Neodiprion lecontei: one gene and its partners. The protein of the gene in region 4 interacts with the protein of the main gene of each other region in a pairwise test. Links are inferred from orthologs where the notes say so. Each region holds a gene or a part of one and is shown on either strand. Other genes may lie near its edges.

The links. The genes of interacting proteins can lie anywhere in the genome.
Region 1: the proteins of uncharacterized protein LOC107224707 (region 4) and regulating synaptic membrane exocytosis protein 2 interact in a two-hybrid assay, tested with the Drosophila melanogaster proteins (3 studies listed by BioGRID). The link is inferred for Neodiprion lecontei from reciprocal best matches to the Drosophila melanogaster genes Rbp and Rim.
Region 2: the proteins of uncharacterized protein LOC107224707 (region 4) and JNK-interacting protein 1 interact in a two-hybrid assay, tested with the Drosophila melanogaster proteins (2 studies listed by BioGRID). The link is inferred for Neodiprion lecontei from reciprocal best matches to the Drosophila melanogaster genes Rbp and Aplip1.
Region 3: the proteins of uncharacterized protein LOC107224707 (region 4) and uncharacterized protein LOC107223403 interact in a two-hybrid assay, tested with the Drosophila melanogaster proteins (2 studies listed by BioGRID). The link is inferred for Neodiprion lecontei from reciprocal best matches to the Drosophila melanogaster genes Rbp and unc-13.

What each region holds. Positions count from the first base shown.
Region 1 is NC_060264.1:20,881,711-20,889,667, forward strand, and holds the start of regulating synaptic membrane exocytosis protein 2, read left to right. Parts: upstream 1-3,595; 5' UTR 3,596-6,230; coding exon 6,231-6,340; intron 6,341-7,957.
Region 2 is NC_060261.1:43,606,660-43,614,373, reverse strand, and holds the start of JNK-interacting protein 1, read left to right. Parts: upstream 1-3,352; 5' UTR 3,353-3,417; coding exon 3,418-3,500; intron 3,501-4,738; coding exon 4,739-4,948; intron 4,949-5,133; coding exon 5,134-5,375; intron 5,376-6,082; coding exon 6,083-6,355; intron 6,356-6,479; coding exon 6,480-6,632; intron 6,633-6,693; coding exon 6,694-6,977; intron 6,978-7,136; coding exon 7,137-7,315; intron 7,316-7,406; coding exon 7,407-7,479; 3' UTR 7,480-7,714. Other genes in the region: tryptophan 5-hydroxylase 1, read right to left, coding at 338-442, 524-622. UniProt on the Drosophila melanogaster protein: The JNK-interacting protein (JIP) group of scaffold proteins selectively mediates JNK signaling by aggregating specific components of the MAPK cascade to form a functional JNK signaling module.
Region 3 is NC_060265.1:23,952,147-23,960,128, reverse strand, and holds the start of uncharacterized protein LOC107223403, read left to right. Parts: upstream 1-3,620; 5' UTR 3,621-3,766; exon of another isoform or gene 3,767-3,879; intron 3,880-7,982.
Region 4 is NC_060262.1:35,315,468-35,323,488, forward strand, and holds the start of uncharacterized protein LOC107224707, read left to right. Parts: upstream 1-3,989; 5' UTR 3,990-4,275; coding exon 4,276-4,320; intron 4,321-4,722; exon of another isoform or gene 4,723-4,799; intron 4,800-4,811; exon of another isoform or gene 4,812-5,039; intron 5,040-5,148; coding exon 5,149-5,262; intron 5,263-6,375; coding exon 6,376-6,701; intron 6,702-7,109; coding exon 7,110-7,302; intron 7,303-7,487; coding exon 7,488-7,928; intron 7,929-8,021. Other genes in the region: alpha-tocopherol transfer protein, read right to left, coding at 357-631.

The DNA.
Region 1 (7,957 bases), on a different chromosome or scaffold from region 4:
AAATATCGAAACAAATCCTAATCGAATTGAATAATTGGCTGTCGAGACTGGAGATACGAATTCTCAAGATTCTTCAACTTTTCCAACCTCCGTTAACTCAACGGTTGTAACCAGTAGAAAGATTTATAGAATTATCCAATGAACACCAAGTTTATTTGCACTCACAAAAGACTTCTTCTGCCATATTTGGTAGAGTGAAAAAGACTAATTTTCGTATCTTTCCTTTTTGGGTGCAGTGTAACATTATGCGGTGTATAAGGTGTCCTCGTCAATACTCTATTAAAAATTTCACCCCCGGATATTCCCGCCCCCCGAATTCGGTTCTTTGCCACTCTTGTTCTGCCCCCTTTCCTCCTTTTTGTCATCCCGCACCTTCGTTCTCTCGCCTCGAGCCGGTCGGTCGGTCGTCTGCGGTCTCCGCTCATTTCTTACGCCGCGTTGCGGACAGATCTGATTGATGAGCGTTGGACCGGTGCCAGAGATGCTGCCGACACTGCTGTCGGCGCCATTTCCTACAGCGCATAATCAATGCCCCCCGGTAGCCACCCTCCCGTACCTCCTTTTACCCCCTTCTACCGGCTAGGAAAAGTTGCAATTTGTGACACGTGAGATGCAGAAGTACGTATAATAACGATAACTCACGCTACTTCTACCTCAGTCTTGCAACCTCGCATGCTCCATTCCCACCGAAATCCTCACAGCGTGTTTCTCTGATCGGTTTCTCTCTGCAGTCTCCGTTCCTTCCTACTATTATACGTCACGCGGTTTTAGTCTTCTTTCTTATTTCAGGCACATTATTTTATACCATTGATAACGTGACTTTATCCGGTCGTTCATATTTTACTATTATTACAGTTTGATATCTACTCCTTTCTCACACGTTTTTACGTACAAGTGATTTTTGCAGGCTAAATTCTCGGTTACTAGAAATTGGCTGAACGTGAAATTATACTTCAGTATCCGATGTTGTAATTTTCTGTGTCTTGAAATAATATCTGATATCCAACGAGCTCCAAACGTTAGTATAGAGCTGAAATAAAATTCCCAGTGTGTCTAACAGCAGCCATTCTGATTTTGCGTCTATATTTCGAACCTGTTGACGAATACCGTAAAAAATATAATGCCAATCTATAATTGTCTGACGTTAATTCACACCAGACATTCTGACCGAAGAAATCATGTTTTACCGAAATATTTGTTAAATATCTTTGCATTGTGAAATGTATCTCTCATGTTAAAACAATTATTGCAATGGATCTCCCATTTGTAAATCATCGATGCTTCAGAGAAGTTGGGCATTCTTGATTTCTGTGCATTTTTAAGTAGCGCATAAAATTGATAGATTACGTTTTTGGATTTTTGAAACATAGAATTTCTTCAATGTACTTAAAAATCGTACTCAAATCTAACGAATAGTGAAGGGAAATATTGAATTTCAATTCTGGAATATCTTCGTAAAGGAAGCAGTAACTTTTTTATTTTTGGAATAATTTTCTTTTACAGCATATCCCAAGTTCTAAAAATGCATGGAAAATTGAGTTGTTAGTCCAGGAATCCCGGAAAATTCAAAGAATTTCGAAGACAGAAAAATAAACAACAGAAGAAAATGGAAAAGACGAATAGGAAGTGAAATAAAAGAAGAAGAAGCAGAAGAAGAAAAGGACGAAGTTTTCAACCATCCAGCCTCATGCTTCCCGGCTGTAAGTCATAGCTTATGGGATAGGCGGGCAAAATGAGCATCTTAAGGGCGGAATAACGTTAGACCAATTTCGACAAAGCAATTTTTTTTTTGCCTATGGTCCAAAAATAGATTTCAAACTTTATCGACATTTGTTAAAATGTCATTTGTTTGTATAATGGACCCATTTTCCCTGCTAGGGCCCATCCCGCACGCCTCTCCCCTACCACAAAAATCCATAAAATAAAAACGGGCAAAAACGGAGATGAAGATGCAGAAAAATACATCTCGGATGAATCAATTGTCCAAGGCGTTTAGGATTCCACAAGTATGGAGGAAAGCACGGAAAAGCCGAATGCCTTGATTCGGTTTCTCATTTGCGAAAAGCGGCTTCTCCAATGAATCCGAATCGCCTCCAAAGAGACTTGAATTTGCTTCGGCGTAGTCTCTCTATATTCAATGCAATTTCGCAATATAAGTTATACTCACGGATCGACGATTTCCAATGAATCCCGTATACTTCAAATGATTGGAAATTACTTTAAATCAGCGCATTGACTTTGATTTCCACGATTATTTCACAGGTGAATGTTTACTGACAGGAAAACGCTGGGAAATTTGTCATTCGTAACAACAAACACCAAAAATAAAAAAAAAAGAACGCTCGAGAGTAAAAGAAGTTGATCCAAAGGTAAGCTGTTTCAATAAATACGGATCAGCAATTCGTTTACGAATTCGCGATGGAAAAACAAGGTCACACAGAAAGTTTCACGCTGATTTCGAGGATTGAGCCCTGATTCCTGAGATGCGAGTAGTTTATACCTTCATTTTTAACCTCTCTGAATGTTGCGCAACAAGTACCGCGGCAGATGATCTCTGCAACTGATCGGTTGAATTGAAAAAGAGGAAACAGCAAATAACCACATCAATTGCAATTACAGTTTTTCCAGTATTTCTGAAGTAATTGACCCACAAGTTTAAACGATACTGCAGGTTACTATTCAACTACACCTATAGTTGTAATCAAGGCGAATCAACGCTAATCAACTTTTTCCAAAAATTCGCTCATACACAAAGATTATTGCGCAATTACACGAACATTTTACGTAAAAAATCTTTGTGGAATAACGGTTATTGATCAGACATTTTCAGACAGACGGATTCAAACATTTATAGTGTGAAACCAACATGGCCACCGTTCGGCGCTCTTCGAGCTTTGTTTCAACTCGATCATCTTCTAGACTTGACAGTTTACATCAAAAACCATTTCAAGGCAAACTATCTTACAGCTGACAATGTAATACGAACTGTTTTTGAAAGAACTCCGAAGAACTGAGCTTATTGTCATCTGCAAAACGATTGAAAAGTTATTCATTTTTAGGTACACTTGGACGTATTTTGGGGATTATTTTGGCTTTATTGTGGTCAATGGAATAGAAGAATTCGATCCGACATAAATATAACTTGAGATAAATCTAATAGTGATTTGTATGTATTAATTCGAATAATTCGATTCGACGACGATTTGCACACCGCCAATAATTATGTAAAACCCGTTTTAAAGTCCTGTTTTATTAATTAATGCCATGATAACACCGGTCTTTGGGAGGCATGAAGTGTGCATGGCCGTGCGGCGGCTTCCGGAGAACGCGTCGAGTCAAAATTGGCGGTTCTCCGGCGTCGCGGGAGCATCGACGTGGTAGAATTCTTTGGGGGTTGATTCGGTGGTAGTGGAGTCGTCGCGATGTCGAGCGCCATTGGCGTTGGCGTTGATCAATACGGGGCGTCGGGTGACGTAAGCAGCGTCCCGGTCCGAGGATTGGCCCGAGGTTCGCTCCGCATCCGATTATTTATTCAGACCGCATGAACGAGTGATTTGGCGTCCGGGTGCCCGCCGCCTACGCAGAAGAGATCGGCCTCCGACGGGCACGGGCATTGCAGCCCCTGAAGAGCCGGAGCGGCTTGAAGCCAGCCGAGATACATGCTCGGGGGGCGGCGGCGCGGAGAAGAAGCTTTCCGCCCCCGCTTCCGCGGCCCAGGTGGCGCCACCTGCGCCAACGTCAACGCGAATAAAGCTCCCTCGGCAATAGTGTTCGCGCAAATCGTCACCGGAGAATGGTGGTCCGGGTTGAGGCCACGCCGTGTCGATGGTCGCGCGGTCGGCCCAGCTTCGAGAAAATCCACCGAACGTAACGCGCGTCGGTTATCACACGTTATTGTGCACGGAAGAGAGCCAGGCTGAACAGCCGGGTAAACAGACCAGTGATATCCACCCAGTGGAGAGCTGATAACGGAACTGCGAAAGCGGATCGGGACTGAAGAAAAACCAGGCATAGCCGTTCACGGGGTTATGGGTGTGGATCGCGCTGAGTCTTCGTTCCGCTGCCCGGTGTTGTTCGAGCTTATTTTCACGGTTGGAAACAGCGGTCGGTTGGCGGTAGGCAGATGAAGATCGGGTGAGGAGTTGAACCTCGGATACTTACTGCAAGAGTGTTATCTGGTGACAGACTGTGGGACGCGCAGACCGTGGTGATAATATGTCGTGTTGGGTGAGCAGCGGGCCCGATATTAGTCCAAAAGTGACGCTAGCGGTGAACAGAGACTGGTGCGACCCTCCTCGACGGAATTGACTCCCCTCAATACCCAGACAAGTGGAGATCGAATTGTCGGGACTGTGGTCCGAAACCGCGGACCCTGGATGTGGGGTTGTTTGCTGATGTTGGTAGACCGTAGTGCGCGGAAATTTTTTTATTAGTCAATCGAATCTTTCGGCACTCACTGGGTGACTTTGAGTACTGATCCGTGAGCGTGTGTGTGGCATTGAACGTTCGTCCTGTTGAAATAATCCTGAAACAATAATTTTTTCAGTCTGAAGACAACTTAATACAGCTAGAGGATAACCATAAGTACACTAAAAAAAAAAATAAAAAAATAGTGCTGCATCATAACGACGAAGCCGCCAACTGTTACTGTTCCGTTTTTGAGCCGAATTATCTCTACGGTTTTCTTATTCCCTCCCTCTGTCTCTCTTTCTCCTCTATCTATTTCTTACTTTTTTTCTTATATTTTGACGGGATTTATACCGATGCACGAGGAAAGTGCGTACGACCTGTTTTTCGTTCGAAACTGTACATAGATACCTACTACTCGCGGTGCTCCACATATCGTGGACTTGTGACCTGACCCGTTTGCCCGTTTGGAATCAATGCTCCTGGTGCTGCTGGTGGAATCTCGTCCTCTGTTGAAGAATCCTGGATCCTTGACCGGCGAAGGATCGTCACCTGAAAGCTGAAGTAGTAAAACGAAGAAAAACCGTAGAACTTTAGAGGTGCATGCCAAGGTGATCTGCAGTTTGAGAAGTGAAAACCGTCATACGCTGGAAGTGAATTATAGGGTTGTAGGTGAATCCTATTTCACGATTAGAGAGGGAGAGAGATATAGAGAGAATTACCGCCAGCTATATAACGATGGTTGTGTGCATGGCGTGGATTCATTCAGAACGCGTTGCCGACTATTGATCCTGACTACGTTTACCCGTTAAGGAGGATTTATTTGTATCCCCCTCCCCCCCATCCCACCTCAACCCCCCGTCACCCCTAGTCAGTGCAGTGGTGCAGCAACGACAGCAGCAATACAAGTGTGACGTGTGGAGCGCGTTACGACGGTATAAATAGTGACAAGAAAGACGAGGCAGGAAGATGAAGAGAGAGGCAGAGAGAGAGAGTGCATGGCTGGAGGTTTAATCTAGCCTTGATAATACACCTATTCAAGCCGCGGTTAAATGATGGTAAAACCGCCTCACATTCTGCGATCATGATTTGTTATACGAACGATGCGAATGACGCAAGTGCAAGATACCTCAAATCAAAGGACATTCGCAAAATCGACGATTCACTTTCAGAGACGACGATCAGTGTAGTTGTTGGACCGCCAGTTGTAGAATTTTTTAACCTCTGCAAGCTACTGCAGCGTGCTTCCGGATATTGTAACGATAATAATAATAACAATTATAATAATAATAATAGTAATAACAACAATAATATTAATAGTAATAATTATTGTATATTTAGTGCTGCAGTGACGATAGTACTGAATCGGTGCAGTTTATTACATAGAAGAGTTTGTTTGAAGAGATCGACGCCCTTTATTGTAACGGGTGCAAATTATTGGTGGAGGATTTGTAACAGTGGACTTAATGAGTTCATAGTGATTTGTCTATTAACGATCATAATCGAGGCGTTCCTCGGCTTTTTTTCGTCGTCTTCCGAGGTTTTTCTTGTCTCATTTTCACGCCTTGTTCGCCGTGTTTGGCTCCTCGGTGGCGGATGACTCCGCCGACGAGTCGCCCCGTAGTTGTAGTCAACGCCCCATGTGTCTCGATCAGCCTCCTGGAGAACAGGCGCCCACTATCCCGGCATTACGGACCGCGGTTTGTTCCACAGCTCCAGCTGTTGCCCCTAACGTGCCGGCATTTTTTTATACCTTTATCAATTATTAAGACGGAAACAAAAGTGGAGGACAGGGTTGCGCCCCCGGGATCAGTCGGGCCGTGATGGCGGACCTCCCAGACATGTCGCACCTAACTCCAGAAGAAAGGCGCATCATCGAGAGCGTCATGATGCGCCAAAAACAGGAGGAAGAACGGGAAAACGAGATTATGAGGTTAGTATTCACCAGATGTCATCACCCACCGTCAATCGTCCAAACACTTCGTTCAATGTTCATAACATTGCAACACATCGCAGGATGCACTATCAAGAATGGTGCATGTCGAAGTACCAATAGCAAAACATGACAAAGTCAGAAAACCGTTCATCCTTGTTGTGAAAGTTTCATTCGTTCAGATTCATTTCAACCATATACTCCCAGAATGTGACAACTTATCAATAGTTATCCATTCTATGACTTTTACCAAATTTTTTGGTCACGTGACTTAACAATCTAACCTAATCCAATCGATCCAGATCTAACTTACGTCCTGCCACAAGCAACAGATTATTAACATGGCTTCCGGTATATTTCAAAGGGTGGTCAATAGATTTCATTACTTTTCTTCAAATGCTATGGGTGTGTTTATTTAGAGCTATTTATCACCAAACTTGAAAGAAAATGTTGGAATTATACTTGACATAACGATGTTTGCAATGCGCCTGGTTTTTAATATCCAACGAACAATATTCCCTGGAGGTATTACGGTATATTTTTCTGAACTGTTCATCTATTGCAATGTTGATTTTTCAAATTTCTAACCCAATCGCTCGCAGTTGATTGCATTGATTTTATCTATGAATGCCTGACACGTAAATACATTGACGGAAGGTGAAAGTTATGGGCTATTATGAATGGATTCAGGGGAATGTTATCTTCGCTACGAAAACTTGACTGAGTATCTAAATAACACTGTGTATCATCTATGTATGTATGGTTGGCAATACAAATGCAACTCAAGAGAGACGTATCGCGCAACGATAATGAATATCATTTTTTCATCATACCAGCAACGTGCAGCCTAAATTCATCATAGATCACCATGATCCGAGAACTTTTTACCCTATAAAATATTTTCATAGTGTAATTATATTTTGATTCCTTGAACGGTGTATGATTATTACGTGTACTTCAGTTGATTAATGCGTAAATAGGCGATAGATACTTGAATTCAGCGATGTTGTCGGAATTATAATTACATTGGATAAAATTTGACGAAAGTACTAAAGCATTTTTGCAACATTCTCTAAAGGTGCACAAAACACAATGTAATGAAAGAAATTGATATTTCAAAAGTGGGACAAGTCATCCTAACAATTTATTCACGTTTATTTACAACAATATTAAAGCATATCCAACGAATGGCGGTAGTTAAGATTAAAACACGTCCTGAAGTATCAAAATCTGAGTCCGTTCACTTGGAAAATTTGAACCTCGTGCCGATTGATAATCAATTCACGTTTTGGAGATACTTGCTGATGTTTGTAACGAAGTGTAAGGAGAGCCTAAAAATTATGTAGGAGAACGGATATATGATTAGACTGGTGGAGTAAAGTAAAAAAACATACTGTTAGAACAAAAAAAAAATCAAGCGAATAGTGTATTAGTTTATTCCAAACATGGAAATCCAACTTAAATTGGAGTTGAAGCTTCATTTCAATTATTCACTGTGTTTTTCGCCCCAATTGTATCTGTACAAAAAATGTTGACGGATTTCTTTAAGGTGTCAGAAGTCGAAGAATGCCGGTTACGACCATTTCTGAGGTGGCGACTGCTGGGCGATTGTACGCA
Region 2 (7,714 bases), on a different chromosome or scaffold from region 4:
TGAAATGTTGCTCAAGACTGGACCGTTATGTCACGAGCAGTGAGCGTGAGTGTCGTTTCACGCAATCCGAAGAACTGTTCCGACGCAACGATTTTCCCGCGCTCCTACCGGTCACCTATCGTTTCTTTAAAAGGTGGGACTGGTTCCCAGAGGGGGAAATTATCATATGGAATCACTCTACTCCTGCTTCTCCTCCGTCTCCACTTGCCTATCCTCCAATCGAATAAAGTTGGTTTCGCTGCCGAGATTCGACGTGTTCAAGAAGAAAGAATCTAGGATCCTTAATTGTTCGGCTGCGGTATACGTACTTGATTCGATCAGCGGGCAAGCAGCTTACCTGGAAAACTTGCAACGCTCGAGCTAAGCCTCCAACTTGATTCTTCAGTGAGAAGATTACCGAATTTTTATTCTCCTCACTTGCGTCCCGCTCAGTCATCGGGACCTGGACACGTATAATCGGATCAGAAGATCGTTCATTTCTGAGGATCAACGGTCGCCTTCGTCACCGATTTCATGTACTCACGTCTGGAACCTTGTGCATCGGGCTTCCCTCTTTGATGGCCCACTCTTGGCCTCTTCTGTAGAGCCACATGCCCAAAAGACCTTTTCCAGAACCGCTCATAACTGTTGCGTATTTACGTAGGGATTTTATTTGAAATCCGCAGCCGCCGCAAGGCTCAGGAAAGAAAAATTTCACGTGTTCTTAATCGAAGATTTTCGATTTTACTTGGATAAACACGTCTCGGTAAAGAACGCAACGCAGGTTCAACCTCACTCTTGGATGATGCTTCTATCTCTCTTGCGGAAGGACCGACAGTGTTCACCCTGCAGCCGATTCCGGTCTTCTTAAGCTTTTCACCCCTCCGCCGTGGCGTCCTCGCTCCCTGTCTTCGTCCAACATCGGCTCCCGATTGGTCCCTGAGCAAGGGGATGACGGGCAACTATTGGCAGAGACGGTTTTCTATAGGAGTACGGGGATTATGGGGGTGGTTCGTTCTTGCTCCTGAGGACGCTATCCTCCCTCTTTCCCGGTCCTTCCGGCAAACTTGCGGCGAGACCCTGTATAATCTCTGACGTCCTTGAATTCTGACCTCTATCCTCACCTCTTGAGAATATTCACGACGAATTACGGAAACAGTTGAAACAATGAGAAGTGTAACTTTGATTGTTGGAGAAATAATCGATTGTTAAAAATTAGCAGTATGTCGAGTTTGTATTATCGAGCAGCTTTAATTAATTTCGAACACAGGTACTAGAAAATCTGTTAAATTTAACCGAGTTCAGACAGATTATCTGTTCGTTTGCTGCAGAAGACTTCTTCATAAAATGCACGACCAAGTTACGTCAATTGGTTTACAAATGAGTTACTAATTGGATTCGTCGTGTACGGGACCATTGTTGATGCACATCTGGCATCGCTTATAAACCGAGCAGTATCATAACGCTCCAAGATAGTATTTAATTTCGCAGACACGGACCGTTACACACTCACTCTTTTGTCCGTGAAAACGTGAACTTTCGTAACTCCAGAGCAGCAGTCCGGATCGAACCAGACGAACAATTAATCATTGCACATAACATGTCCACGGACGAATAATGTAGACGACGGAACGATTATCCTCTGATCGGCAAGAAATATACCACGTATCCTTCTGCTGTCACGATGTTGCGTACGTTACGCAGACTTGACTTATGTATTCGACGGGAGTACGTCGTAATTTGTCGAGAAAAGAAAAAAAAAAAAGAAAATGCATCAGACGGTACGACACTGTGCTCTAAAATTGCGAGATTGGTCTTCTGGATGAATGTGTGTTTAGTATGAGAAAATGCTGGGGAACGAGAGTAGGAGAACGGAAAGCAAATGAGAAAAGGAGAGACAATGCTTAACAAAAGCCCGAACCCACTTCTCTACCCTAGCGAGTCCTATCGGTTCTCACCGCTTCTCCACAAAGCAGATACAGCACATTATCCAGCCAGCCCATCACTTACCACTATCAGCTACTATCCAGAGGCAGTCGAGGTGGCCGAGTTGTACCGGGTGTTTCGCTTGGTTTTGCAATAGAAAAATAACGATCTTACAGACCTACCTTGCTGCTAGAACGCACTTCATCCATGTGGTGCATCGAAAGGAACGGTGACGTAAATACATGCCGATTAAAAATGGTCAGCAGGGCACAAGCGTCATAGACGAAGTTCGCAAGCGACATCCAGTGGCCTGATTATCGTGGGATTTGAGGTGACAGACGCCTGTACCAGACTTTGGCTCACCCGTGGTCTGGGGTGTGGGCGATAGTCGCAGGCTACACTGCGTATATCTCTGGAAGTGTCTGTTTCACCTTGCTTCAATTACTTACGGCCCGCATCCATCGGGGAGCGTCTCATTCGCTGAGCGAACGGCAAGACCGGGTCCAGATGAATGGCGATGCTCGGACCGTCTGCCGGCATCGGAGATCGGTTTACTGCTTCTGCCCACTTCGTCGAGTGTTATGTTAAGGGTGGCCCAGTACCGGCCCTGTGGTTATCACTCGATGTCGGTAGCTGGAAACTCTGAGATATGACTACATGTACTTCGATAAGCATGATGAATCGGCATAAATTTTTATACGATAAAGAAAATTGCGTGAAGTCTTTTCAGGCTCGTTGTAACAGGTAGACGGAGGTCGTACGCGATTCGGTACAAGGTTTCTCTCAGGCAATATAGTACTCGTTGAGAGCGGGGAGTTTTATTCATGGAACGAAAGTGGAGAGGAGTCTCCTGGTTATTTAAAGAGAGCTTCGATTCGAACTAGCGTTTGCAAAGCCGGTGGGAGGCAAATGGTTAGGCGCAAGATGATGGGCATTCGGTGTTGGCAAACACTAGGATCCTTTCAACGACGTTCCTCGGCACGAATGATGGGACGGAGGTATGCTGAAGAAACGAAGGCGGAAGCCAGCCGAAAATTAAAAAGCGTACGAAAGGTGAGACCACTCAATTTCGAGGTGCTTCATTGGCCGAATTAGGGGAAGGACCTTGTCAAACCGCATTAGTTGTACAAGGTAGTCATCGTCCAACGCGTCAACATCGGTATCCGTATTGTAGGTACTTCTCACGATCGTTAACAACAGCGGTTTAGCCAAATTTTCTCTAGGTATAATCAATGCCACCAGTGTCCGAACTCTTGCAATTGTTTGCTTGGATTTGATGCAAGTGGTTCACGGGTGACGGGACGGCGTTTAGGCGCTGCATCACACGAGTAGAAGTTTCGTATTTCGTTCATCCCTCTGCGCCCCCATATTCGTTTTTCATCTCGAGGCTCGCTCGAGGGGTGCGCGCGTCACGCTGCGTCCAGGAATCAATAGGTTTGCGACGCGTGCGCCGCCTTCGTCCGGCCCGGTCGCCTCCGCCGTCGGCCGCCTCCACGGACCGACCTTTCAAGAATGGCTGATTCAGAGTTTGAAGAATTCCGGCATTACTTTGAGAGACTGCCTCAACATCTCAAGGCACCGATATCAAATTACACGTGAGTAATTTTATCAGTTATCTTTCCATCCGTGGTGGATTTTACTGTGGAGGAAAACACTTGACACGTTGAAGCCGCTCGCGTTGATGAAGAAGCACCCTGACATGCGACATCGTTTTCACTATCCTTGTCAACGTTAATGGGTCTATAGGACACGGTGATATTTATAAATAACGTCACAATCATCATCGATCAATGGTTTGTTGGGGCGATCCACGGTTGTCAATAAACACGGGGTGCAATTTACAGCATGAGTAAAAAATTCGTCGATGCAGCGTAAATAATGACAGGGAAAATTGTTCTAATAGAAGAAATATAACTACATCATCCTGGTCGACAAAATCTTTCTGACCATTTGGTACAACTTGTGGTTTGCCGAGCCTTAGTGAACTGCAGTTTACGAGTATGCATACATATTGTATACAAATGGATTCTCAGACATTTCTCATGGCAACTGTCAAATTTCGTATTCCTTGTATTCTGCCAGCCTTATTTCAACTCAAATTTCATCCAATAACGTCTTTTTAATGTTCCGCAACCCAGGTAGAGGGGGTGAATCAAGAGATGTGGTTTCAATGTACTTCAGGAGTTTCAATCGATACCCGAAACACTGTAATTGAAACCAAAACTATTGACATGTCATGCAGGAGAGGGGGGGGGGGGGGGGGGGGGGCAGGTAAAAATCACCAGCCGTGATATTGAAGCGGAATGTTCATGGTCGGTAAATTATATGAACCATAAACGAGCCGTCCAAGATCATTAGTATATAAAAAATATTTTAGGAGCGTATTACAAATATCGTTGAAACCCGATGTGCTCCCAGACTTAGGGTTTCAGTTTACCACAAGAGCATGGTGGTCAGAAACTTCATCTGCGCATTGGAAAAACGGAGTAAGTGTAGACGTTTCGTGCGCTCTAGTAAAAATCAATGGCTGGCTATGTGATCAAACGTTTATAAACTATTCTTCGACGAGGTCTGGTACATACATGTCCTTCCGTACGGTATTCAAACTTTGGGGTCGGCGTGGTGAATTTTTTTTGGTAATCAATAGCATCTTAGGGAAGAAAACGTACGCGCTTCGACAGCTTCTCTTTCAACAAGCACTTTCAGACCAAAGACCGATGAATCGAAGGAGAGAGCTTACTAATCTGGAATCTAGTATTAAGCACATGACGTGAGGTAGAAGAGTGAAATTTATGAATGAGCGTTACTTGTTTCGTCTTTCATCTCGCGACAGACTGGTCCACGATGTCATGGTCGACGATTCACCGACGTCCTCGCAGGGCAGCGACGGAGACGTCGGTCAGAATGGTGCAGCCGTGGACTCGGAGGACGACGAGGTTGTCGCGCTTATTCATCGTCACGGAAACCACAGCGAGCAGAGCTCAGGAGACGACGACGAAGAGCTAGACCACCACTGTTCCATCGTAGCTGACAGCGACTTTAGGTATGGCAAGTGCACTTTCCTCGCATCTCATCTTTGCGTGGGTTCTCGCTCATACGAACGGCAGGCGAGTCCGAACCCGCGTAGCTATGAGTCTGTTTATAAGATCGACTCTCGATGGGAGGTTAGAAGATTTCAATGGCATGTGAGTAGACTAGTGACAAGGACACTGCGTTGGGTGACATTAGCTTGTTCGGTGGACTGAGCAGTAGGAGGCGATCGGTTTCCGGGGCTGGAGGAGGACAAGGAAGATCGGAAGGTGGAGGCTGCGGCAGGGAGAGTGTAATCAGTGACGTAGGTGACTCCTGCTCGAGCCTCAGCTCCTGGCCCACTCCGGAACACGTGCCGTCAAATCGTAGCGGAAGCGGGTGCACCGCAAGCGGCGAACGCAGGCGGAGACGACTTCCGGAGATTCCAAAGACGAAAAAATGTAAGCATTGCCAGTTCTACGTAATTCACATCGGTTGACACGTGACGACGAGTAAACGTGCTCACGGTGTATTGTTGAAATTTGTATTTCCATCGGTTCTCCCGAGCAAAGAAAAAGTAACGAGACTCGGGAGATTATGCCGATGTTGTCGTCGTAACTTGATCTCCGTCGATCGCCATTTGCGTGAAACATTAGCAGCCTCTGATCACAAATCATGTGTGACGAAAGGAAATAGAGGCTTTTGCTGTATGAGGTTGACATAATTAACCGCAAAATAGACAAGCGTACAGAAAATAACCGCCAGAAAGAGAGCAAAAGGAAACAAAAAGAAAACTGCTGTATGTAACGAATCAGTTCTAGTCTCGATCTTCGGAGAATTCAGTCGTTACTTACCTTTATTTCTTAGATTATTCGAAATAAACTCGGTGGAAAATAATAGTCGTACTCACCGAGTGCTACAAAGACACGGTTTATGAAAAGAGAATCTTCTGCAATTCCAATCATCATGCATTACTCTTGTGTCTACAACAGGGGTGAGTTTCACAGTCGTAAAAGCTCTGTGTTTCCTTGAAAATTGATTGGATCGTGAAAACATAACGGTATACATTAAGAAAATCGTTAGTTTGAAGTGAAAAGAAATATCATGCTCGTAAATGTGGAACCTGGAGAATTTCCTTGAGTTATGAACGTATATAACTAATTGACAGCCGTGTCGATGTGCCATTCGTCTCTTCACTCGTCTCCGTCGCTCGCCGACGAGCTGGGGGCGGCAACGTCAACGGCGGGACGGCCGCATCTCGTTCTGAGGAAGTATCATCCGCGTCTCCGTCATGAGGATAGTTCCCCGGACAGCGAGAGAATGACGACGGACAGTGGCCACTCCACCGCTCATTCCCCAGACAACGGGCCCAAGAGTGTGTCTCCAATTCCGTGCAGCACCGTACAGAATACGAACTCAGTCTCGCCGAGCAGCACGCCAGGTGAACGCAGAAAAAAAAAAAGCAGAAAATAAGTAGCAGAATTAGTAAAGCTTCGATTAGTATCCAAATCTACGGTGGTTGTAAAAACAATACCTTATTCGTATTGAAAATTTGCTCCCTCCAGGTAGCGGTGGAGTTCCTTTCACGCAGCTAGAACTACTGGAGGCGACTCATCGCGGGCTGCACAAGTTTGTGCCGCGACATCACGACGAAATCGACTTAGAGATCGGGGACCCGATATACGTGCAGAAGGAGGCTGACGATCTTTGGTGCGAAGGTATGAAACTCCGGCGGCAGAATTGTCTTCGATAAGCAGAGTGAGCCTCTTCTCGTTTCAGGTGTGAACCTGAGGACTGGCAGACAAGGTATCTTCCCTTCGGCTTACGCGGTGGACATGGACTACAGCGACTTCGATCCTTCGGCTCCGAAGGTGAAACGGGAACGATACCTACTGGGATACCTCGGATCGGTGGAGACTCTTGCTCACAAAGGAACGGGCGTCGTCTGCCAAGCCGTTCGCAGAATCGTCGGTGCCCCGAGTCAGGAATCGCCCGCGTCTCAGAGTTGCATTCTAGAAGTGTCTGACCAGGGTTTGCGGATGGTCGACCGGAGCAAACCGCAGGTAATGGCAGGGGAGTATTTTTCAACGATTTTCGAAAGCCACCGTCTTCGACGGAGAAGTTTTCGTTTCACGAAAGAAGAACCACAGCTCTATAGCCCTTCGGTCCTAATTAGAACTCTCACGAACAATATGTCTCGTTTTTTTCTGTGGTCCCTGCAGAAAAATCGGGGCCCTTGCCACGACTACTTCTACTCGCTGAAGAACGTCTCGTTTTGCGCTTTTCATCCACGGGATCATCGCTATCTCGGATTCATAACGAAACACCCAACGCTCCAGAGGTTCGCCTGTCACGTATTTATTGGCCAAGAGTCGACGCGACCTGTTGCCGAAGCAGTTGGGTAAATAAAAACTATATTGATATATTGCGTATGTTGCATGGTTTCTGCTTACGTAACGAGGAACGTGGATGTCTTGCGTCTTCTGTTGCAGGAGAGCCTTTCACCGGTTCTACACGAAATTCATCGAGACTGCTTTCCCCATAGAAGACATCTACATAGAGTAATGAATTGCTGAAATATAAGTTGCTGTTGACGCTGACGATCTCATTCCCTTGTAAATACCACCCCTTAGCTGATTTAGCCTTATATATACTAAGTCTAAATCAAATGCCCAATATAAACAATTACGATAATAAAGAATCATTATTCGCATGGTAAAAAAACTGCGACGTGTTCAGCCTTTGCAGAAAATATTTCGCGCCGGTTCGCCTAGATACAAGAAAATACGTACGGTAACGT
Region 3 (7,982 bases), on a different chromosome or scaffold from region 4:
GCTGCGACTTTTTACTTGTCCTTAATTACAATGCGGCGAAATTGTATTTTACAACAATATTTTTTTACTCCCTGTTCAGGCGCGAAGTTTCACAGTTATTGAAAACTGTTATATTCCTCCCATTGTTAATGCATGAATGAATTTCCACGAGTACCTACTCCAGTTATAACACTATAGTCGCTTCTGACTCAACTGTACGCTAATTGCATAAATAGAAGTTCGTTTATATATATGTAATAGCGATCGATTCCGACAACGAGTTGCACTACGTGTACAGACACGCTACAAGCATCAACTGTATTCCGGATACCGAGCCTTGAGGGATCCTCGTCAGTTTCGCGGCAATGAATTCAATACCCCCGAATGATCGTGTCCCTCTGAAATAGATACCTTTGAATATCATCTCTCATCATGTTTTTCCCCGGTTTGTGTGTCATCCTCTCCTCTTATCAATATCCGTCGAGAATTCTCGAACGCCGATAAAGATTTTCCAACAATTATATCCACGGTGGCCGAGACTCAATGGTGCATGATTAATTCAAATAGAGAGTTAAAGTTTAATTGGCTTTACTGTCCCGACTTGGTCCCAAAGAAACTTCGTACTTGATTAATTGAGCGCTAACGAACGACTCGGCGAATTTTCTCTCGAAATTAGGAGCTGAAATAATAAAAATGATAACGCGTAACCGCCACCTGTTCCGGAGACGCCCATGCAACTGTTAATTCGCATCTGCAGGTCTTGTTGTTGGCCAAATATCAACGCGGATAGACACGTAGCGACGTAGTCAAAGCGGGATACTCGTCGCTAATCATCCCTGGTTATCTATCTGTAGGTAATTACTATCAAGGAGAACGGCGTGGGTGCGGGACAAACGCCGATTAGCCAATAACGCTCGGCTTTCCGTACGCGGAGAACTTATGTAGGTATGTATATAAGCCAGGATCGCAGGTGTGTACCTACCTTGTTCCGCATCTCAGGTTGAAACGTCTAACGGCGCACAGCCGCGGATGGATCGAAGAGGACTACGGGAGGCTGCGGAGCAAAGTGCGGGCGTCATTGATTAATTAATTCTCCGCTCTGGTTCTCTGCGTGACCAACGATTGCCTCGCAGAATCAACCGGGAATACCCAAAGCAAGGGGTTCAGGGGACGTGATTAACGAAAGTGTCTATCTGTGGCTCGATCGAAATCCGACTGCTCGCGTCATTGAGAGATAAGGGGGATGTCGGCTGGAAATTAAGCTTTTTCCTTGGAGACGACGGAGGGAGGGGAAAAAAGCGGAAGGAAGAAAAGTAAATCTTGAAAATTGGAAAACAAGAATTCTGAAAGCTCCTCTTGCGTGGGCCGCGACGCCAGTTTCTCCCGTAACCATGGCAGCGGAAACGTAGCTACGCTATAAATTCCAAGACGTTCGCTCCAGCGCGCGGAACGCGTCTCTAGCTCTTACATAGATCAGCTCTGCAGGTAGCAGTTTTCCTCACCTCGGCTAGATTCGCCACCCCGCTAATGTGGCTTGGCAGAGCAAAAACTTCCCGCTGCATTCTCGTAACGAGTTGCTTCAGCAGCTCCGTTTTCAGCCCCGAGGTGCAGGTTGTATTTTCAACACCTTTAGCAACCCGCAGCTCCGTTTACCGCCAATCCTCGCGTTCCGCAATACCCGAAGTCGGGATCGCGGACGTTGACGTCGCGGGTGGAAAAACATCGCCCCTGAATTTAGCGATTAAAAGAAAAGAAACTGGCGCATCGCGGGAACTGGCGGAGGATCGAGAAAATTATTGCTGCAAGGACGAAGGGGAGGAGATTGTTCGGCGTGGTTTTCGCGAACCGCGCCGACGAGGATATGGCCGTGGAACGCGGCCGACGAGGAAAATCAATATGGAGGAGATGGCCGCGTGGACTTGCTGAACGCGCGTCGCGACGCTCCCGCCACGTACAAAAGCCACCGCCTGGTTCAATCTCGTCACGTCTCGCGTGCCCCAGGCCTCGTGGCCGATCCGCATCCCCGTCAAACGACTTACAGCATCTCCGAGGCTAACGCCGCCGACTCGAGGACCGCGCCCGGACGGCGTCCAAGAGACAAGCATTAGCGCGTTTCGTTACGACCGGATCGGCGTGCGTGAATTCAAAATGTAGGGTCAATTGAATCACCAGAGGCGCTCCTCGTCGAGGCGCATGCGTAGTCAAGGGGGTGGCGGTCGTGCTCGTCGTCGTCCTCCTCGGGTTGATTGAGGGGTGCCTCAGTAGCCTGGCTACACGTTGTGGCGGGCGGCAGTAGCAGAAGCCGTGCTGCACGGCCCCCGGCCCACATTGGGTCTCACCTGGGTCCGGAGACGGCGGCGGTTAGAAATCGCGACGAGTTTTTACAAAAACGAAATTCTAAAGCTATCGTACGAGGCTTGCTAAACTGGAAGTGAAAACCAGTGGAGAAGTTTATTTATTTACAGTGCCGGAGATAAATTTAACCTTGCGATTCTTTGCCTGCTCTTATTTCCATACAAAAAATAATATATATCAATTTTTCATCGTAATCATTGTTGTCGTTTGTATTTTACAATACCATTCGAGTGTTGTTATCGTGGATTTGCGGTACACGACGATTTTCAATAATCGGTTTATAAGTAATAATACCTTGCATAATTGTTGATTCTATTACATTTCATGATATAATACTCTTTCGATCGTGTTTCGTGTCGCGTATTTTATAACCGTTCTTCTACTTGCCACGTCGGTGATCACAATCGACCCACTTTTTCGGGAGTTTACTCATTTTTTCCGACACCTTCGATATACGTGTTAAGCTGCACGTTTTTTTGATAATAAGTTCGACCTAACATCGCTCAATATTCACGAAGCTGTTACAATATCTTTAAAGTGGCAAAGGAAACTCGGATACCTGTGTTACATTACGTTAAGCACGCATACACGTATATGTGTAAAATATCGCCACCAACGCACGCAAGTTTCACGCGATCGTTCGGGTTATCGCGGCGTTGAATCGACTCTGGGGAAAATGCATAAATTACGTTAATAATCCATATCTGCCTAATACAAAGTTGAGATATTAAACTCGGAGTTAAGAGGGAATAGATAAATAAACGGAGATATAATTATACACGTTCTATAAAATATATTTATCAAGCGTATACAGGCACAGCGTGGATGAACGCAAGTCTGTATGCGCGCAATATCGCTAATGAAATACTAGTACGAAATTAAACCGAAGGAAGAGGGGGGAAAAATATTAAACAAAAATCATTGCTAGTCATTTTATCCTTACGGTAATTTATTGTGGAGTGATTGTAATCACAGTGGCACTAATGCGACAAATTAGTGCGGTAAATAGAAGTGGAATTAACCTAGTGACGAGTTGAATCGCAGTGAATGCGTCGCGAGTTAGATTAAACAATTCCGAGTGTATGTGTGCGCGAGTATAATAGATGCCGTAGAACCGTATAGAATGTTTCGACCAATCGAAAACTGTCAATTATTATCAATGATTGTTTGTTGAAGTTACAGTTGACTTGTCGCATAATATATATACACACAAGAATATATATATATATATATATGTATATTTATGAAAAATAATGATCGTTAAGAAAATTTCGTTATACAATATAAACTTCGTGTTAACAACGAAATGCCAATCTCGGCCTACATTATACTGTGCAGTGTGAGATGAATTTATGATTCCTGTACGAATACCTACAGGTGTAAATCGCACAGATGCTATGCCGCATTTTGCTCGAGTGATCTTCCGTATCATGTATGTATCCGCATCAAAGGTGTAAATCAACCTTCTCGGTATAGGTTGTGTGCTACACCACCGTCCAAGGTTGTAAATGCACATTATTTACCGTAAATAATCAACGACATCAGGTAACCAGCAAGTGAAATAATAATAATTACGGGTAAATGGCGGTTCGCCGGGCTGACGAGATCTTGGCGTGCAGTATGCTGCTTTGTAAGCCGCCGCTTGACGGAATAAACGGCCCGCTCCGTTCAATCGAACCGAGTATAATCCAAGTTTTCCACCCTCAAGTCTCGGCTTTACCCAGCGACGCGCCATTCATAGATTTAAATTACGATATACGCCTCCTAATTCCGCACCCCCGAAACTTGAATTCCAATTCCGTCGTCTGGTATGAAAGCGAGTTTTAACGTGGGTCCAAATTCCCTTCCCAAGGGGGTTCGCAAAGTTTGAGGGTAAAAAAAGTAATACACGCGTCACGCCGAATCGGCTGGAAAAGCAACGAACGAGCCAAAGAGCGACGCAGCGGTGACGTTAATAAAGTGCTTCGCGACCTGGAACGCGGTGTTTGATATTGATTGCAAGCTCGATGCGTAAAGTTGCGTTGTCGACTCTGCAGCTGGCGGCGATGCCAATCTCACAAGGGTGTTTCGCATACGGGTTGACGTGGCGTCGCGACGGGATCTTATTGTTAGAGAAAATTAGTCGCAAGACGCACGCGAGATAGGGCGGTGACTCTTTTTTTTTTTCTTTTCTTTTCTTCCCTCGAGCCTTGGTGATATCAACTTCCGCGAATCGCGTTCTCACGGCATGAAAACGGCCGCAAGCCACGGTTGTTGGCCGCTTCTTCGGCTGGGCCAGTTTCGAAGGGAGTCAGTGTTTCAATTCGCACGATTTCCCGCGATAGTTGGCCGTTAGGGATTCTGCCAGAAATATATTCTACGATCTCTCGCTCCCTCCCAAAAAAAAAACAAACACACAAAAGAGTCGAAACGACAAGTCCGAAATGGTGCCAACGTGAACCCACTTGTTGACACCTAGGTTTAGCCCGGACTATACCTACCACCTACACAATTGACCTAGTAGACACTTTCTATTCAGTACCGGTAGGCAGGCGGGTGTGCCTCTTTCAGTTTCCCACCGTCTCTCTGCACGCCTCTATAAGTCAATAGTCATTCCAGCAGGATTCTCTCATGATATTCTCGTCTACTCTCGTCCCCAAGGACTGTTAAAGAGATGTAGCGGGGCGCGAATTTTCTCATCTATTAACCGACGGTATACTTTTTGACAGGTTGAAAATTACTTCAGACAGGAACACTACCGCGATAACTGAGCACCTTGTACGGTTTTAGAAGAAATAATTGAATGAACAACGCGCCGACGGGAAAAAGATTTTTTTATTTTTTATTTTTTGTTTGTTTTGGTTTCAATTTCAATTATAAACCACGCTCAAATTGTTAAGACGGATTTAGAATCTATGATTAAATTTCAAAAACTTCCAATCTCTGTCAGACCAATTCCTTTTTAGAAACGTACGTTAGTATTACTTTGCCAAGCTATTCTCATTCCGTTATATATGGGTTTTGTATTTTTCCTTTTTTTTTTTTCACCCCGCGTCAAAGCGATTCCATCGCTGTCATTACCTTGGTCGCTCGGCCACGCGCAACCATGAAATTGCCTCCAGTGCTCTTTGTTTTTAGCTTCTTTTTTGTTTCAAGTTTTTTTCCACGTTCATTCGTTGGCCTTTTTCAACGGTCACGGGAATCCCGCAATTTTGTATTGTACTGATTTGTATAATTCAAGCTCGTCGATCCACCCTCCCGCGTTTCTTTCCTCTTGCGCTTCGCCATACAGACCCGCCTCTATTGTTATTTTTTAAATCATTGCCTTTCACCACCACGTTTTGCAGTAAGTCCGTGCATTGAATCTGACGCCAGAAGCAAACTCCGCTCGGCTTACGGCTGGTCACACAATGCCTTGTTCTACTTTACCGTTTTTTTTTAAATTTCACCTCTTTTCACTGGAAATGTTTCTGTCACTTGCCTTTTGCCTGCACGTTAGATAGTACAAGGTACGTTACCCATCGTTGAGCACCTTAATGTTGAGAATAAACCAATTTTGGAGATCACGGTTTTCTTCTGCCACGTTAAAATTAAAGTCACGTAAGCCGCGAGTGGTCGATTTGAAAATACAGATCGCTAGGTTACGATCACAGGATGATCGTTTGACACGTTTCTAATTCTCGATGTTTCCGTGGGGTCGTTTTTCCGAAGTGAGCAAATATCTGATGAAAAACTATCGCAGTGGACTCCGTTTGATTACCGGCAATCAAATCCGCGAAATGACTCAATTTATTATGGAATCCATTAAATTGCATTGAAATTCCGCTTGTTTTCGAATGACGAGTTTTCGCTCAACAGTTTCGCCCTGTGCCTTCAACTCTGCACTTCGACTGGGTTCCGCTTGTCGATATTCTCATCGTATCAAATTAAGATCGTGGTGTAACCGAATCGTAGTACGAAATCAAATCCATTTGGCAGTAACAATCTCGGGGGGTGTCGGGCTTTCTCAATCAGGATCAATACTCCCTACGCTCATGGTGGTCAAGCTATTCGGAACGTGTCAAGCCCTACTTATCCGCGGAACCTGTTTGACCCGGCTTTAAATATTTGCAATCGATGCGAGGTCCAAGTCGTTGACTCCTCTCAGCTCGGTCGAAGCTGCAGGAGATCTTCCGGCACTCCTCTTCTCGCCCCCAGCCTCGCACCCCGCCCCCCGCGGCCACCGCGACGCCAACATGGCTTTGTCCCTATTGTCAAGATGTCCTCCTTTAATCGATATTTCGATAGGTCACATAATACATATTGTGTACGTATATACGTACACGTGCACACCCACCTCAAGTTTTTCACATTATACAGTCCGTTTACACACGTAGATTCCCTGCTCCAGGTCGTCGGCGAATTGCGTGAAATGATTACGCGGACTTTCCGATTTCGCCTTGTTTTCTCGCCGCGAGACGAGCAAAAACTGGGCATTAATTTCGGATCGACGTCGTCCATTGAAGCTCGTCTAAACCTGCGAAGCAAAGTTGGTGAGAAGTCGCTTTTGAAAAGCGTAAGACCTTTGGCGAAGGGGCGACGAAACGCGGTGCGAAGAGGCGAGAGCAGGGTGAAGGGGCCTTCACTGCACTCGTATCAATGGAACTTGAGTGGCTCGTTGACGGGGTGAGCTTGTCCTGTTCTCTCGGGAAAAGCTGTTGCTAAAAATTTCGCGAGTAACGCTGCGCCTTTGTCGCGCAAGGAATTTTGATCCTCAAGCTGATCAATTAAAATCGAGTGAACCGTTGGGGTTCGCAGTTTACTTCCTTGCAATAACGAGATTAGGTTCATGCCCGAAAGTATAGCGGCGGTTTGACGTCGGGGGAAATTGATGTTCCCCGAGTTCTTTCGTTTCTTACATCTTATTCGTCGCGATCGACGGTCAAGGACCGACACTGCAGCATCGGTGAGTGTCGTCGTCACACTTTTCCAGGCTCGCTGCCTGACCGTCGATCTCATAAATATACTCGTGAGAAACATCGACTGAATTCGTTCTGAATTATCACACCGAGAGAAAATTAGCTCCGTTTGGTTTCCCCATAATCCAATCACAAAACTGGGAGACCAGTTTAGGGTAGAAAATAAATTACAACTCCTGAAATCAAACGAGGGTATTATTCGGAGATGTGGACTGTAACCTTACTTCCTGGATGGATCGTAATGACGAAGATGAATCTTGGGCCTTTGAGCTGTAGTCGTTAACTTGAAGAGGTTCAATTAAGCATTCCGCCCCTCGTTCAGCTTTCGAGGTCGTATTATATGCAACAATTTAATTCGAGCGAGAATCATTCTTACACATAAAAATCGATTTAATCCTATTTTTCCTGCTACTTCATTCCCCGTTAGTTTTAGTCGGGAAATTATTTCGAACAGCAGGTTTTTTCCGCGTCGCGCTTCTACAACTCGTGTTCAATGTTTCGCCGTCCAAGCCGCGCATATTCAACACGTACGTCAAAAGGAAGTAAAGCGGTGAAACACCGAGTCATTTTTTTTTTTCGTCCTACCTCAGCTGGCTTTTCTGGGACAATTCTCAACGACGAGGCGTCCCGGATCAAAGGCGAAACCCGACGCATCGCGTCTGCAGCTTTGCGTGAAATGCAAGAACGGACCGTAGCAGGTAGACGTTGCAC
Region 4 (8,021 bases):
TATTATAAGAATCTGGAGTATAGTAGACGGGAGGAGAAATTGATTGGATCGCAGTATAGGTATACGGTATGTTTGTAACCTTAGAGTCCTGTTATTGGCAGCTGTGTAAATTGCACTGTAGAAGTATTAATTGCCGATTCACGAAAAAAGCTATTACGTCTGCAATTCTGGAATATTACCATGGAAAACTTTCACTTATTCATTACTCCTGACTGTTACTCTACGCGGGAAAAGATACTGTGGTAGATCATATAAAATTATCTATTTAAATGAATTAGAGCGTACTGTAAAATCTTAGGTAAATCATCTGCTATGCGGGATAACAGTTACGAATATAATTAATTTGTCAAACGTACAGTGCTCGCAATGAATGCTGCAGACATTCCATCTTGGGATCACGGTTGGCAAAAAACTCGGGAATTGTCGCCCTCATCCTGTAGTAAACACTCATGCAGCGAAGGGTGGCTTCCCTGTCGTAATAGCAGCTATGGGTGAACAGAGCCAATTGTTCGACAGGAACACCCGGGATGCCTCTGGCTTCCGTCCACTTTTGCAGATCATCCAAGACCTCATCGGTGAGTTCCGGGTACTTGGCACGAGAGTCTTGAATCGTATGTCCCAAATGCATCATGACGAAGCAGCTTGAACAACTGTTAGTTTATGTTGGCTGTTTGACCTGACGATGAGCATTCACCTCACGCTACAACACAAGTGATGGGAGAAAAATGATACCTACGGTGATTGGAGAAAATTTTTTTTTATCCTTAATGATATAAAATGACAGCCACCAACTAACGTCGTATTGTCATGTTATAATTTTAGACTCGCTTGCGTTTTGATCCTTATCTAGTATAATGGACTTCACAATTGCGGAAAGCAATGTACGCAAAACGCAGTACGATAAAACGGTTCGTGGTATCGCTCGAGCAGTTACGATCAGAGACTGACCACAGTACATGCATGCGGTTTCGACGTACGAGTATCGTAATCCAGCCTATATTCCCTGAGCAGGGTGGCAACTTCTTCTCTTCATTTAATTAAGCATTGTCTGCGCCTTTGATTTAATTCCATGCGTCACTTCTCATTCATTACTATGCGTAACTATTTCCATAATGTCCCGGTATTTATATGTCTCACGTGTTTTGCATGTGACCGTACAGCGTATATAACATACGAATTATTCCCAGTTGCTCAGTTTCGCGGACGTAGGTGAATTATTCCGAATTTAAAATGCAGTAGGCCGCGCAGTAATCGTAAACATCATTTATACGCTCGGAAACCGTATAAGTCTGTTTGAGCCGCAATAAAATTGTTCAAAACTAAATAAGTAGGATATTGTATAACAAGGAGGCAAACTCGGCGAACAAGTACACGAGGCCAGAAAAGACCGTTGCCTTCTTGTTGCAAGCGATTCTATATGTATAAACAAGAGTATGTTACACGTTTTTTCACAAAGCTCGAATTCGAAGTTCGGGTCGCGTGATGTCAGATTTGTTCGCGACAGCGCATGCGCGCAGTACTGAAAAGACCACTTTCAACTCCTAGGATTTAAATGTGGTCTTTTCAGTACTCCGCGCAGGCGCATTCATAGACTAACCCAGCCGTCTTAAAAACGGGTATTTTCTGTACGAAAAACACACGTGGAAAAACGCGTAAAACATGCTCGCGTTATATAAATATGTTTCTTTTTTTTTTACTTGGAGCACATGAAATTTGCACATTCCTTTGCCACATCATACGTCGTGCGTGAACGAGCTGTATATTTATATTTTCGAGTACAGCCTAGCAGCGATTCGCGATGTCACGCTTTGACACAAACCTCAAAACTTGTAATTAGACGATCTACTGGATTTCATCGACTACATGATCGTGGTCGTCAGTTCAACAGACGTAACGAAGTTTCAGTTCAACATACAGACAGAAGAATGAATGACCCGATTACGATTTACAATTAGTTCGTTTTCCATTCCGCTGTGTTTCCGTATTTTGATTTTTACCCCGTAATACTTACAATTACATATTCTTCGTTAGTTTGCCATATTTCCAAGATGTTAGTTCATGCCAACGATACGAACATCTTAATCCTTGAACCATATCTGTAGTTTCCAGTGTGGTAGCATGGTCCAGTTATCGCGGTTTATAGTGATACTTCGTACCTTTTTCGTATAACGCAGGTACTAGAACTAGCATTCACGTATGAACTTGTTGCGGTGTTCCTCTTCATACGCACTATTAACATATTTTGCTGTAATACCGCAGTGTCAAATTATATACTTCAGCCTATGGAGGTAAACATCAACGCATTAGCTATGCCATTAATTAATTTAATTGTCAAATTAACAGCAGCAGTTCTGCATCCATTGCGTCACGTGTACTCATATTCTGATTCAAGCCACACTGCAGATTTTCGAACAAGATATTGGGTATTCATTTTTCATCCATCTCGGAATGGAGCAAGGCCCTCAAACTTAATCTGAGCGGTACCAAACATCCCGAGATCGGATCGTCTATCGGCTGCCAATTTATCCGCCATGTATAATCGAGAACTATGTTTGGACTAGCATAAGAAACATTCCATCACAGAATTCACGGAGAACGTTTTCTCGAATCAGTATAATACGTATAGTTCGTTCGATCGGTGAAAAATCCATTTATACTTGTACGACCACAATGTAAAAAAGTTTTCCGTTTGGCACGAAAATCTATACACATGTAAAGAAACGTACCGGATAATCATGATCCGTGATCTACGATTAAGCCCCCCGATTGGTATCATAGTCGCGTGAATCACGCTTGGAGATCTACCTATACAGGGGTTTGTAAAACATAGAAACGGCAGGGCCTTCGGGTGTGAGCAATCGGGCAAACCGAATACGGAAATTGCGTGCAGCAAAGACCTTATAGTAATCCCCGCTGCTGGGTAGGGGCGCAGTGGAAAGGCCGACGGTGGACGACGTTTCCGTTCGGTACCACACCGAGACGAGCCCGACGACCAATCGCGTACCGACGACGTACGTTCATTGATAAGCGCGTACTCCGGACGGTCGGGTGCGGGGTGTTCCTCGAATAGAACGTGACGTCATGTAGGCGGCCGGTAGCGCCGACGCCGAGGGCATATGCGCGAGCGTCGCCGGCCGTGATTTCGGGGTTTCGGGCGTCGAGCGGGGTGGTTTCAAAAAGGATTTCGGGGCAGCGCGGATCACGGCCCTTGCTGCTCGCGGATCGTCAAGGTGACCTTGGGCCTGCGATAACCGTTATACGTGGAATTATCACTCGGGGGGGATATGCCAGAGGGTTGCAGATATCGGAGATTGTCGGCTATATTGATTGGTCTTTTGTGCGAAAGCAGCCACTACACCTCCTGTCTAGCTCTCTTTCTCTAGGAGCGGAGCGCGTCATCGATCCGCGAGTGACCCATATCCGTTGCCACTCCTCCCACCTCCCAGCTCCCACCTCCCGCCACCCCCAACCCACCCCGCTCGCCTTTTTTCCCCTTGTGCCTCTCGCAGCAGCCCTGCCTGCTGCCAACGAGCAGATCTTCGCGGGTTCGGGATGATAATCCAGTGAAACTCACTCCGCGACGAACTCCACCTGCAACAGCAGCCCTGGCCTGCCAAAATCCCTTCAATTCGGTCATCGTAAGTTTCAAACTTAAGTCTTTATTTCTTCATTATTATCATGACGGTATAAGGCACCGTATAAGGATCTTCGCTGATCCTCATTCGCCCTCTCATTATCATTTTTACATCCAGTGTCGTGTCGGCTTTGTTACGGGCCCCGATATTACCCTCGATGGCGGTCTTGTCATTCGAGAGAAAATGATGCTACGAACATTCGGCTATGGCTACATCGTCTATCGTGATGATGGTAATGGTTGTGCAGGAGCATTGTAGTGGTCGTGGTTGTAGCGGTTCAGTGGTTTGTGCGCGCCCGGTACGCGGTTGGTGATCAATAAGCAGTGTCGTATCAATTCTGGGTGCTGTTCGGCGTTATCTGATGATATCTGAACGGTTGTTGCCTTCAGCCATCTTCACCCGACACCCTGGTCCAAAGTGTATATCTCGTTACAATTTCTCTCTCGAAAGTTCAACTTGTCCGAATTTCTGTCCCACTTGATTGCGATATCTGCAGTTACGGAATTATCGGTCTCGCTTCTTCCGCATAAAACGCGTTATTTTACCAGTATATCGAGGTGATTTCATAATAAATACGGAAATATTTCAAGTTTTATGAGAGAAGCTTGATAAGTCCCGTCAACGTTAAGCGTTCCAAAGTATGAAGACTCGTTATTGTCAGTTTCAACTTACGCTCAGTGATCAGGTACAAAGTGTAGTTCATCACGGTATTTCGTAAATTTGTAAGACATGCATCCGTGTGCATGAATGTGGCTCTGTATATTATTAACGGTAACAATATATAGTGCTGTTATTGCGAAATTGTTGCAAAAGATTGAAATAAAAAACAACAGTAGCAGGTAAAGGTTCAATAATCATGATGCAATGCTACAGCTGGTAGACAATTATAAGAATCATCGATCGTTCTGCCGATTTCGTCTCGTTTCCATTATCGTTCCATAGTAAATTTTCATTGCGACCCCCGTTCCGGAATTCGGTAGTCATCTAGGCGCGGAGACGACGATAAAGGTGGTGCCGCTCGCTCGAGTTACGCCACTGTAGACGAGTGGGGGGTGGTTTTCTCCGTCGGTTTTCGTCGTCCTCCGACGCCCGCCGTCGCGGCGTTCCGTCAGTGACGGTGGCGGGTTCCAGCAAACGGTGGGCCGACCCTTGGTCACTCGAACTGTACGTTACACGTCCGAAAGATAGTCGGGATTTGGGTTGAACCCGATTTTTTTGTTCCTCGCTTTTTCTGCATACTTTTTATCGCCTGTACCTTCATCTTCCGTCATACCCGTGGCTGAAGAATGATGACGAATAATACGAGACGACCTCAGAACGAAGGGTCACTTTTTTCTTGATAAACACCTCGACCCCTTTTTTTCTCTACCCTTTCATCAGAGTAGCCACTGTCTTGACCGCAATGTACAGTATACTATTTCTCCAACGAGATAGAGATTCTAGTGTCGGAAATTACATCCTCTGAATTGATTGTCGGGTTTAAGCAGTGATCAGATAACTGGATATGTTACAGTGCTGCGGCGTTGGAGGTGGAGGGGCATCGACGGGGCCCCAGCCGCCACAACTGCAGGGGACCAACACAAGAACCACCATCATGCAAGACCCCGTCCTTGAAACTATCCTCGAGGTGAGTAACTCAGGATGAACTGATTCGACTCGACGGGTGGTCCCGAGGGCTTATATTGTATCTTTCAATTTTCGAATTTTTAATCCGAGTTCACTGATTGGTCAAGCAATGATTCCGATTGGCTGAAAGACCGGTCAAATTTGAAAGTACGCAGCAGAATAGACCTTTTATGGAATGTTACCCTTATACTTTAGTGTGTATCGAATTGCATGATAGAGAAACAAAAGTACGCCGCACCTTTAATTAATGCAATAAATTCAAGTAACTAATTTATCTGACTATGCAGAATTATTATTCATATGCTGGGTATAACGAACGGAATTTAGAAAAGTTTAAATCTACCGTACTTGCCCGGTATCAGCTTCTAATAACTTTACGTAAATATTATGCAAGAGTTGATAGTATAATATGTTATAATGCACTTTCACGACACTCCCGTAGGGTCGCGTTTCAAACCCGCTCACACCGCACACGGTATGTGTACCAACGTGTACGTATTGCCGGCCTGTTAAGCTGAGCGAAAAATACCGAGGAATGTTTGATATGCGTTCAGTTGCCTAACGTAATTTTAATAACCTTTATGAGGCTACACGCTACCGTATTGGATTTTCAACACAACTTAATACCATGTAGCTCCGCAGGCTCAAAGGGCCTTTTCTGGGCTGATTCCTTTCCAATTTCATGATGGCGTTGCGCGTTCTTACGGTGGCGGCGATTTTCTAGCGCATGTCTTACTTCACTGCTAAACCGTCGTTTCCGAATGTTGAGCTTTAGACAGCGTTGACGCTTCAATAATACGCAAATCTCCTTAATTCGATTTTCGCTTATCGTACATATACTCCTCCAGCTTTAGTTAGATATTCAGCTATCCTACTCGACTTCGAATTTGACAGCTTAGCACAGCCGGCCACAGCAATGAAATCCACAGGCATGTCTATGCAACTATTTTTTGAACTACAATACAAGACCCTCAAATAACTCTGCGAATAACCGTAATTCTACCATGAGGTTCGGATGAATATCCGAAATATAACCCAACACTCTCAGCAATTATATATCTCTATCTTAAAATGAAATAATCTAACGTAGCAATTCGTTCGTTTCATTCTGTAGCAAATGCGAGAGGCCGAGGCCCGCAGAGCAGAATTGGAGAGGCAACATGCGGAGACGCAGGCGCAGTTACGTGACAAGTTAGCTGGCCGGTATCCAGGACCAGAGTCTGTTGAAGCACTGCAATCGAAGATTAGGGAACTCGAAAAGAAAACAGAACTCCAGATGGTTAGACACGAAGAACTGTCCCTAGAGCTGACCAGCTTGAGACGGGCACGTAGCAGAGGACCGGTTGCTAGCAACGTGACTTCAACAGTCCCTATGTCCACGTGGCCCCCTGCTGGTTCTGAAATTGATCGAATTATTGCCAAAATTGAACAGGACAACAGGTGATAGTCATGGTGTAATACAAATCTATGTGCTTCATTAAGCATTTCATTCAGCTTCATAACGCTACATACTTACCAGATTTTGCTAATAGAATCACCCACATAAACCAGGGAAATATATTGTACCATGTAAAATTAGATATGACACCTTATTACTAAAAGTAATCAATGTGTCCAGTGGTTCTTGTAATGTAAATATAAACTGATGTGGCTCAAATGACGCATCGAAAATTCAATTGCAATACACTGGTCGACCAAAAATATCCAGTTTGTGTGATATAAATAGTCAGAATGCTAGTAACGTAATAAGTAGAGGGTGTTATTTGAAAATGCCTTAGAAACCTTGTACCACCTACATTCATTCCATCTAATTCTTTCTGTCTTTTAATTTCGATTACACACACTCAGCTTAAGTAAAACCAGTGCCAGTAGGATTCTGCACGAGTTGGATCATTCGAGGAGCAACGTGACAACTCAACAGCCTTCTGGTTCCCAAAGTATATTACGTTCAAGTTCAGAAAATCTTCCCAACTTGGGGCAACATCAGCACCCTCCACATCCGCATGCATTAAACCTTGGTCTACCGTCACAAACATCACACGTGAGTTGTCATTGATAAATAAGCTACGATTTTATTGCTCTATAGAATATATAGAATGACTCTTTCAACACTAGTTTCTAATACCTGCACAGCTTTCTTTGTATGGTAACATTATTGTACTAACTTATCTGAAAAAATATTTGACAATATAGTAAGTTACTCATGCTGATATCTGTAATTAATAGTACGCTGGCTCTCCGATGCCATTAACACCAATGATGCCTGGCTGTCCACCGTTAACACCAAATGGTCCACCGTACCACTACAGCGAGCCGATTCCACCTGCACCATCTCTTTCAACTAGCCAATCACAGCCTGCGTTTCAGCAGAAGCTACAACAATATCAGCAACAACAACAGCAACAGCAGCACGAACTATCAAGCTCGCACTCACAAGGCACCCTACCGTCTCAACAGAAACAACTACAAACACACACGCAGTTTTCCGGCAGTCAATATCAAGAAAGTTATCCACATACACAAACGTACCAACAACCAATACAGCAACAACAACATCCTGTTTCAACTTCGTACTTAACTTCTGCTACCGGAGGTCAGAATGTCATGCCTCATTATACGCAACCGAGTCAGACAAATCAAGGCTATCAACTCAACGGTACTCAACAGGTAGGTTTTTCCAGCAACAATAATACGAACATTGGTCAAGAATTTTTCCAAGCATGTTTCTTTGCTTTTTATTACACGCGAATACCTGGTGAA